2 linked regions of the Ovis aries genome follow. The protein of the gene in region 1 interacts with the protein of each later gene in a pairwise test. Links are inferred from orthologs where the notes say so. Each region holds a gene or a part of one and is shown on either strand. Other genes may lie near its edges.

The links. The genes of interacting proteins can lie anywhere in the genome.
Region 2: the proteins of NFKBID (region 1) and SS18 interact in a two-hybrid assay, tested with the Homo sapiens proteins (2 studies listed by BioGRID and IntAct). The two-hybrid records come from large-scale screens. The link is inferred for Ovis aries from reciprocal best matches to the Homo sapiens genes NFKBID and SS18.

Annotation. Positions count from the first base shown.
Region 1 is NC_056067.1:45,891,922-45,897,464, reverse strand, and holds the start of NFKBID (NF-kappa-B inhibitor delta), read left to right. Parts: upstream 1-1,917; 5' UTR 1,918-2,060; intron 2,061-2,627; 5' UTR 2,628-2,763; exon of another isoform or gene 2,764-2,779; intron 2,780-2,907; 5' UTR 2,908-2,953; coding exon 2,954-2,968; intron 2,969-3,804; coding exon 3,805-3,995; intron 3,996-4,076; coding exon 4,077-4,182; intron 4,183-4,300; coding exon 4,301-4,447; intron 4,448-4,561; coding exon 4,562-4,613; intron 4,614-4,705; coding exon 4,706-4,854; intron 4,855-5,543. UniProt on the Homo sapiens protein: Regulates the expression of IL-2, IL-6, and other cytokines through regulation on NF-kappa-B activity. Functions in the regulation of inflammatory responses.
Region 2 is NC_056076.1:31,102,051-31,106,864, reverse strand, and holds part of SS18 (protein SSXT), read right to left. Parts: intron 4,354-4,814; coding exon 4,261-4,353; intron 3,545-4,260; coding exon 3,425-3,544; intron 1-3,424. UniProt on the Homo sapiens protein: Appears to function synergistically with RBM14 as a transcriptional coactivator. Isoform 1 and isoform 2 function in nuclear receptor coactivation. Isoform 1 and isoform 2 function in general transcriptional coactivation.

The sequences.
Region 1 (5,543 bases):
CAAGATTTTTAAAGTAGAGGCGACAAAACTTGCTGACGGAGTGGATATGAGTGTGTATGAGAGAGAGGGGTCCAGGATGACCAAAGATTCTGGTCTGAGCAACAAAGGACAGAGAATCCTTTGATAGGATGGAGAAGGAGGGGAAGTAGGTTTAGATGAAAAAGTGCCCAGGTTTGGCAAACTGAGTTGGAAATGCCTGATAGAACTCCCTGTGGAGAAGCTGAATGACCACAGCGGCCTCTTTTGAGTTCATGGGATGTCTGGTCTGGAGATGTAAATTTGGGGACTGATGGCTCATGGATGGTATTTAAAGCCGTAAGACTGGATGAGATCATCAAGGAAGTGAGTAGAGACACGGGAGCAACACTACCTCCCCCAGCACCAAGAAAGGGTGACGAGGAGTAAACAGGCAGGGAAACGGAAGGAGCAGCAAGTGAAGGAGGAGAACTAGGAGAGCACAGTCTTGAACGCAGGGGAGAAATGTGATTTACATGGTAACCAAGATGGGAACTGAGAAACGAGCCTCCCACTGGAATGACAGTCTGCCCGAGGGCTGGGAATTCCTGCCTGCTTAGTTCACAGATACACCACAGCACCCAGCAAAGTGCCTCCCTTGCACTAATAAATTCTTTTTAATGACGAATGAACAAATGAGAACTGGCCTCTGAAAAAGACGGTGATGTGGGGAAGAGGGGACATTTGAGTTCACCTATATTACTCTTACCTACAGACCTTTCCTGCCTTGAGACCAAGGAGTCCAGAACCCCAGCCCCCTTCTCCCTGGACCTGGTATTACTGGCAGCGTCCTCCCACCCTCTACCAGCCCAGGGCCTTGAAGTCAAGGCCTCCAACATCCACTTGGACAAAGATTCAGAAATTCGGGTCCCCAGTTCCCTCCTCCTTCAGGAGTCCGCCACCCTCTCAGGGTGCCTCTGAGGCACCTTCTCCCTCAGACCAAAGATAGGGTTCCCAATTCCTCTTTCCCAGGAGACTTCGGAGTCGGGCCTTCAAAATGAGCTCCGCCCATTCAGACACCAGATTCGCTCAAGCGCACCGCGGGGACTCCCGGGCTTGTGGGCGGGGCCCTGCCCAGCACTGGGCGGGGCCAGACTCTCTGGTTTAAAAACTCGCGGGGAGACTCGGTCCAAGATCGGGGACCCGGCGGCGGCTCCGCGGGGAAGCAGCGACGCTGGCGCAGCGCCGAGGCCGGGGCCCTGGGGGCCCGCAATCAGCACCACGGAATCCCCGAGGTAACTGGGGGGCGGGGAGGTGAAGTACGCTCGGCCCCTAAGAGAGGGGCTGGGGAACGGACTCCTGAAGTTCGGAGGGACGGAGATGGACATCAGGAGTGAGGGGTCTAGCATCAAGCTGAGAGTGAGAACCCAATGTGTGCAGGGGGCAGAGGGTGCAGAGTCCTGGGTCGTGATGCAGGAGCGGCTGGGATTCTGGGCTCCGAGTCCGGAGAGCTAAAGGACTGGGGATCCGGAATCTTAGGTCCTGGGGGTGAAAGTGCTGGGAGGCCCCGAGCCCTGCCTGAGTCCTAGGAGGAGGGGCTGGCGACCCAGCCGCCATACTCGAGAAAGAGGCTGGATTGAGACCTTGGGGGCGTTTGAAATTGGCCAAGGTCTTGATAGGCAATGTCCAAGGCTTGGCTGCAGGGATGCTCTCTGCCCGTGATCCTGCCCCCCACCCTGGGATTTCCCGAGTTGCCGCCCGGCCCGGATCCCCGGGCTTAGCAGGAATTCCCCATGTGCGGGGATTCCACGAACGCCACGCTTGGCCACGCATCGTGTTTCGGAGCCGGACACCTGGTGTATGGGGTAGAGAGGAAGAGGGAGATGGAAGATTCCCTTGCGTGAGCGCCGTGACGTCAGCGCGTCGCGTCTGGGCTGTTTCCGAGTCCGCCCTCCCGCGCTTAACCCTTTTTCCGCCCGAACCGGGTGAGGGCCGAGGGCCCAGGCCTCTGGGGTCGCGTGAACAAGGAGTCTGGAAACTGGGAGCTGAGGGCCGGACTCCTGGGTCCTGGGGTAGCAGTTGAGAGTCTCCCAGACTCCTGTGGGGTGAGGCTTGGACTCCTGGGTGTGAAGAAGGGGGCAAGGTCCGAACTTTTGGATCCCTGAAGAGCCAGGGGACTGTTGAATTCGTGGTTCCTCAGGGAGAGGGGCTGTGGACTCGGATATCTGGTTTCCCAAGGAAAAGTATCAGGGCAGCTTCTAGGGCAGGGAGATTTGGGAACCTGGATGTGCGTCTCTGTGAAGGGAAGCCCGGCATCCCCCCGAATTCCTCAGGACTGGGAGATCTGGGGGTGGGGTGCCGTGGGATTTTTCACGGAAGTAGCGGTCAGAGGGAGGGGGGCTGCAGAGGGCGCTTTCCACCCCCTTCCTTAGTTTCCACGACGCTGGTGGAAAGTTGGGTCAGAGGGGAAAGTGCGGAGCAAAAGGAAGGAAACGGCGGAGGCGGCTGCGGCGCCTCACCCGAAATCGTAGATTGGCTTTGGAGTTCTCAGGCGACAGCAATGTGCCAGTTTTTTCCGCGCGGGAGGGCGAGGAGGATGTTCAGATCCACTCCCCCGCGCCTTTGGGTGACTTAAAGACCCCTGATAACTTCACTCCCTCCTCACCCCGCAGTGAGCCGGAATGAGCGCAGCCATTGCCCGTCACAGACGGTGAAGAAGCTGCTAGAAGAACAGAGGCGCCGCCAGCAGCAGCCAGACGCCGGTGGGCTACCGGTGAGCCCCAGGACGCCCTATAAACTACAACTCCCGTGAGGCCGTGTCCTGGTGGGCAAGGGCCCTCAGGGCTGAGGAGAGATGTAGTTCTGACTTAGATGCCCTGTAGGTGGGGAATGGGTGCCGCGGAGTCTGCTGGATAAATTCCCCCTTGTTTCTTTTTGTTTTGGCCTCTACAGGGACAGTTCCCACCTCCCCTGGCCCAGCCCCTGACTTCATCTGTGAATGAAGGTGAAGCTGGTAAGTCTAGAAACTCACTGGGTTCCCTCAGGGACTCAAACATCCCCGCTCTTAGAACTTTCTAGAACTTAGGCCCTTATTCTTGCTGAGACCTGGTAGAAGTTTTATCTCCCAGATTCTCTGAAGCTCAATAGTTTATGCAGGTAGTCCTGGGGCCCAGGCTCCCAGCCTGGAGTCTAGGCCCTCACTCACTCAGTGTTCAGGCATTTAGGCCCCCATAGTCCAAACCTCCAGCCCTTTGGTGCCCCAGAAGTACTAGCTTTCTGTATCCTGGGGACACTGGCCCCTCATACAGCTCCTGTCTGGGCTTCCGCTTCCCTGACTCTGGTAACCGGGCCTGCCCCTGCTCCTTCTCTCACACACAGGCCATACTCACTTCCCAGCACACCAGGAGACTGTGGGTTCTGGACTTGGCAGCCTGGCACCCCCCACTGGCTTTGTAGACTGGGACCCCAACACGCATGCTGCCTACACGGACAGCCTCTACTCTTATCCTGCTTCTGCTGCTGAAAGTTTTCTGACTCCTGACTTCTACTCACCCTCGGACCCAGGGCGGCCGTGTTCGTTTCCCCTGGGGATGGAGGTGAGACTGACAATGGGAACTGGATGCTGAAGGGTCCCTGAGATGCCCAGTTGCCCTTATTGCAGCACAGCATTCTGATATGTCTGGGTTAGGAACCCATTCCTCAGATGGGCAAAACTGAGGCCCAAAGGTCCAGGGTTACTGGCCGCAGATGGAACATCCAGCCACTCTGCCTAGCACTCTGTATGTATATGTATGTGGTGGAAAGGGAATTCTCAGCTGACTGGCTCTCCCCACCCTCTGTACCCTTCAGGACCCCCTGGACACTCGGCTCTATGCAGACCCTTCCCTGCCACAGGCAGGATCCTGGAGGGCTTCTGGGCTTCCCTCAGGACCTCCACAGTTGCCTCCTGTGGTCACTGGACCATCCCTGGACACTGCCCGTGCTCACATGCTGGCTCTAGGGCCCCAAAAGCTGCTGGCGCAGGATGAGGAGGGAGACACGTGAGTACAGGGGAGTGGAGTCTGTGGGCTCCCTGCTCAGCTGGGGTGCTGTGCTCATTGCTACCCCCAACCTGTCCCCAGGCTCCTGCACCTGTTTGCGGCGCGGGGTTTGCGCTGGGCAGCATACGCCGCAGCTGAGATGCTCCAAGCATACAGACATCTGGACATTCGTGAGCATAAGGGCAAGGTGAGGGCTGGAGGCTTGGTCTCCTGGATCTGAGGACAACAGGGCTGAGGGCCTGGGTCCCTGGTGTTCAGAGGGTAGAGGATGGGGGCCCCAGACTGACCTTTCCTGACACCTGCAGACCCCTCTTCTGGTGGCTGCTGCTGCCAACCAACCCCTGATTGTGGAGGATCTACTGAACCTGGGAGCGGAACCCAATGCCACTGACCATCGAGGACGTTCTGTCTTACACGTGGCCGCTACGTATGGGCTCCCAAGAGTCCTCTCGGTATGTCCGTTTGGCAGATGGGATGAGTGGGATGGGCTAGATTGCCTAGATCCTGACTTCCAGGGCTACATGGCCTGGAGAGACTCTAAGCCAGCTCTCTGCCTTCTCCTCCAGGCTGTCATTAACTCAGGGGTTCGAGTTGACATAGAAGCCAGAGACTTTGAGGGTAAGTTGAATGGTGGGCAGGGTGTTGTGGCAGGTGGGGCTGGGTCAGGGGAGTGCTCCAGATACAGAGTCCTCACTGTCTCTGCTCTGCAGGCCTCACCCCACTCCACACAGCCATCCTGGCCCTCAACGTGGCTATGCACCCACCTGACCTATATCCCCCAGTACTGAGTACCCAGGCCCAGGACAGGCTGGCTTGCGTCAAGATGTTGCTGCACATGGGTGCTGATCACACCAGCCAGGTGAGCTGGGCAGTGGACAGCTAGCCCCCAGGAGGGCATGTGGGATGGGAGCTCTTGAATGTCCAAGAAGGCTAAATAAATGCCGACTTGCCCCTTGTCAGTGGCGTGAACTTAAACATGCTACTTCACTTCTCTGTGTCCCAGTTGTCAACTGGGAATAATATTAATGATTTTAGCTTATATTTATCAAGCACTTAACTATTATTAAACACTGAGTTTCACCAATTAGCTAATTGAATCCTCACAAACATTCTTTGATGTGTGTGCTATTAGTGCCTTCTCCATTTTAATGATAATGAAACTGAGGCTCCAGGACTCAAAAATCTTGTACCTTGTAAGTGTCAGAGAGGGAATTCAAGCCCAGGTGGCCTGACCCTAGAATCCAGCTCTTAATATATATACTGTCCTCCTTCCTGACAGTAGCTCCTTCAAAGGCTGGCTGAAAGAATTACACATCCACTCATTGTTTTGGATTTTTTTTGTTTTAGTTAAAGAACTTTGAATGCAGATAAAGTACAGAAAATGATATTGATACAATAAACTCCACCTGTTGCTGTTGTTAAGTCGCTTTAGTCATGTCCAACTCTGTGTGACCCCATAGACAGCAGCCTACCAGGCTCCCCCGTCCCTGGGATTCTCCAGGCAAGAACACTGGAGTGGGTTGCCATTTCCTTCTCCAATGCGTGAAA
Region 2 (4,814 bases), on another chromosome or scaffold:
CACTGATTATAGAGGAATGTCAAACAGAATAAATTTTCAAGCTTAAATAAATTCCATCAGTTTACTCTTTTGACTATTTAATTATTATGCACCTGATTATTAAAACTAAATTTTCTATTAGAATGAAGTTTGACAACTAAAACCTACAGATAAGCAAAGTGGGAACATCTCCCCAGCGTCAGACAGAAAAGCATTTAACCTTTCCACTGAAAATATTTCTCTTAACTCAATAAACTTACCTGACTGATCTATGTAACATTTGTTTTCATATGAACACAATAAAACCAGAATACTCTATTTACTCAATGTACAAATGTTCAATGGTCATGAAATGGAAATGCCATTTGAGAGTAGTAAGAATATCTCTTCAAAAAGACAAGAAATACATGGAATATTTCTAAAGACATATTTGGAATTAGGGAACTAGAAGTGATCAATACCTAACTTCCAATACTTGCCTGAAATTTCAGTGCTTATTTGCGAAGGTGCAAGAGAATTTTAGCCTGATTCTGGTTCTCAGATTTGCTATCACAGGTGGAAAGAGGTGCCCATAATAACAGCAGAGTTTAAATCAATGAATAAAAAGAGTAAGACGTTGTTGTTGTTGTTTAGTCACTAAGTTAGGTCCAACTCTTTGTGACCCCATAAACTGCAGCATGCCAGGTTCCTCTGTCCTCTACTATCTCCCAGAGTTTGCTCAAATTCATGTCCATTGAGTCAGTGATGGGATCTAACAATCTAATCTTCTGTTGCCCCCTTCTCCTTTTGCCTTCAATCTTTCCCAGCGTCAGAGTCTTGTCTAATGAGTCAGCTCTTAGTAGCAGGTGGCCAAAGTATTGGAGCTTCAGCATCAGTCCTTCCAATGAATATTCAGGGTTGATTTTTTAGGATTGGCTGGTTTGATTTTGCAGTCCAAGGGACTCTCAAGAGTCATCTCCAGCACCACAGTTCAAAAGCATCGATTTTTCGGTGCTCAGCCTTCTTTATGGTCCAACTCTCACATCTGTACACAACTACTGGAAAAATGATATTTTCAACTATACGGACCTTTGTCGGCAAAGTGGTATCTCTGCTTTTTTAATACACTGTCCAGGTCTGTCATAGCTTTCCTTCTAAGGAGCAAGTATATTTTAATTTCACGGTTGCAGTCACCGTTCACAGTGATTTTGGAGCCCAAGAAAATAAAATCCATCACTGCTACTTTTCCCCTTCTATTTGCCATGAAGTGATGGGACCAGATGCCATGATCTTAGTTTTTTTTTTAATGTTGAGTTTCAAGTCAACTTTTCATTCTCCTCTTTCATCCTCATTAAGAAGCTTTTTAGTTCTTCACTTTCTGCCATTAGAGTGGTATCATCAGTGTATCTGAGGTCGTTGATATTTCTCCTGGCAATCTTGATTCCAGCTTGTGATTCATCTAGTCCTACATTTTGCATATAAGTTAAATAAGCAGAGTGATAATATACAGCCTTCATGTACTCTTTTCCCAATTCTGAACAGGTCATTCTATGTCCGGTTCTAACTGTTGCTTCTTGACCCACATATACAGTTTTCTCAGGAGACAGCTAAGGTGATCTGGCATTCTCATCTCTTTTAAGAATTTTCCACAGTGTGTTACAATCCACAGAAGGCTTCAGCATAGTCAATGAAGCAGAAGTAGATGATTTTCTGGGATTTTCTTGCTTTCTCCATGATCGAACAAAGGGTGGCAATTTGATCTCTGCTTCCTCTGCCTCTTTGAAAACCATCTTGTGCATCTGGAAGTTCTCAGTTCACATACTGCTGAAGCTTAGCTTGAAGGATTTTGCACATATCCTTGCTAGAATGTGAAATGAGCACAATTATATGATAGTTTGGACATTCTTTGGCACTGGAATGAAAATTGATCTTTTCTAGTCCTGTGGCTACTGCTGAGTTTTTCCAAGTTGCTGACATATTGAGTGCAGCATTTTAACAGCATCATCTTTTAAGATTTTAAATAGCTCAGCTGGAATTTCATCACCTCCACTAGCTTTGTTCATAGTAATGCTTTATCAGGCTCACCTGACTTCACACTCCAGGATGGCTCTAGGTGAGCGACACCATCGTAGTTATCTGGGTAACTAAGACCTTTTTGTTTAATTCTTCTGTGTGTTCTTGCTACCTCTCCTTAGTCTCTTCTGCTTCTGTTAGGTCCTTACCACTTCTGTCCTCTATCATGTGCATCCCTGCATAAATGTCCCGTTAGCGCCAATTTTCTCAAGGAGAACTCTAGTCTTTCCCCTTCAATTATTTTCCTTTATCTCTCTGCTAGTTCATTTAAGGGTTTCTAATCTCTCTTTGCTATTCTCTGGAACTCTGCATTCAGTTGAGTATATGTTTCCCTTTCTGCCTTGCCTTTCACTTCTCTTCCTTCCTCAGCTGTTTGTAAAGCCTCTTCAGATAACTACTTTGCCTTTTTGCATTTCTTTTTCTTGGGGATGGTTTTGGTCACGGCTTCTTGTACAACATTACAAACCTCCATCCATAGCTCTTCAGATACTCTGTCTACCAGATCTAATCCCTTGAATTTATTTGTCACCTCCACTGTATAATCATAAGGGATTTGATTGAGGTCATACCTGAATGGCCTGGTGGTTTCCCCTACTTTCTTCAATTTAAGCCTGAATTTTGCAATAGGAAGCTAGCTCATGATCTGAGCCACAGTCATCTAGACATATTGATGTAAACAAAGAGACCCTGTTAGCAAAAGATGATATCTAATTAAGCAGCTATATCTCCTATCATAGGAACCATATTTTCCTGTATCTCAAGTAGTCATAGATAATTCAGACTGAGATATCAGGTCTGTATCATTCCCCACTCCCTATCTAACAGATAGCCAACTAGTAAATACTACAGTGAGAATACAATAAGAAAAGATGGCTATACTTCCTCCAAACTCTGTAAGATACATACCTGTAATAAACATACCCCTATGGAAGTGTACACAACTATTTTAATAGGGCATGACAAAAACATTTTCTCTAGGCATTCCAAATGGACCTCATTTGTACACTAAAACATCAATGTTACTTTTCATGGTAACAGTCATTAGTTTTGGAAATGAATTTGCCAAGCAGATTATGTAGATACTGTTAGTAATCACCCAACTCATCAGTTTTCTAAGCACACGCAAAGCTACTGGCTGGTCATGAATGTCAAACAGGTTTAGGAATTCATAAATTAATGAATTCATTTCAAATGACTTTCTATACCTTACCTGTGGTCAATGAGCCATCTCCAGTTTATGCTTTTTCTTAAACAGACTACTAGTTTTAAGAACTTTTCAAAGAGACACTGCACGAGTAGACTGAGCTAAAGCTGTGAATTTTCAAATGAAAATTAAATATCCCCTTCCACATTTTGCAGGAGGAACTAAGTTAAAACTGCCAGAAGCGATTACCGTAGCCCTGCTGCTGTCCTGGGTAGCCTTGCTGCCCTGGGTACTGCTGCTGGGGTGGGTAGCCCTGCTGGGGAGGTGGTCCTTGGTAGGCATCTTGCTGTTGGCCATACTGCGTATTTCCTACATGATAATTGGAGAAGAGGACAAAAAGAAAATACTGAGGAGTTTGCTTAATTAACTTTATTCCTCTAAGATGCATAGCCAACAACACAAGAACAAAATGAAATGCTATATTGATTTTTAAAAGTTAACAAAACAAAGAAAAAACTCAAACCAAACAGAAGGATTTCGGCCAAACAAACTGCAGTTAAAGCCAATTTTGCAAGGTTGAACTGCAGCATTTTCAGCGTCTCTGCCATACGAGCATTACATTTACTGGAACATCACAGTCATAAGATCATGACTATGCTAAATAAAATAAAAAAGACAAAAATTAAAGACAGCTACAAGAGCACACACTAGCTACACAAGATCAGCAAGCTGTTTCCTAGAGGCACTAAACTTATATGTAAAATTATACATATGTGAACACACAACAAGAAAAAAAAATTGGATTGATGGATTTATGTTCAAATAGAAAATTTCCACTGAGGAAAAAAATTATTTTAAAATGTTTTAGTCTTTTTATGGTTGTTAGAAATGGCAAGTCATGGTTATACATTTTAAATATTTGTAAGAAAATTATTCTGATTGTTCTAGGCTCCCTGGAACTTTCAAGACAGCCAGCAACTAGTATTCTACAAGAGCTTTGCGTGGGTAGAAGTTGTCTTATGCAAGAATTTTTGTTCCTGTAGAAGGGGATATATATGTGTATGTGTGTGAAGGTATATAGATACCTCCTTCGTAGTAATGTTGTGAGGAATCCTCATAAGGCCTATCGTAGCCTTGTTCAGGATACGACGGTTGCTGATAACCGTAATCATTATGACCTACATCAATTCGACAAGAGACAGGAAGAAACGTTAATGGCCACTGAGTGAAAACCCTAAATATATTTATACTTTCAGATAAAACTGAAAAAAAAAGAAAAAGAAATGGAAATACATAAAAAATTTCAATTGCATTAGCCAAATATTTACCAAATGTGATTGCTTTCATATTGAGATAACGTGCAATTTTCTTTTTAAAGCAAAAAACAGTTTTAGAAACATTACACTTAGTCTTAACTCTGATAATCCTCATCAAGGAGGGGAAAAAAAACTTTATCTTCCATTTTTTTAAAAAAAGAAAAGGAAAGCATTTAGGCCTTTCACATGTAAATAACCTGAATTAAATTAGAATGAGCAAAGGAAGCAACTGTCATATTTTGTCAAACACCTGCTCTGCTGGTCGCCAATTCCACAGCATATGCTAAAACAACGCAAAATATAAAAGAGCTCCGTAAGTTTTT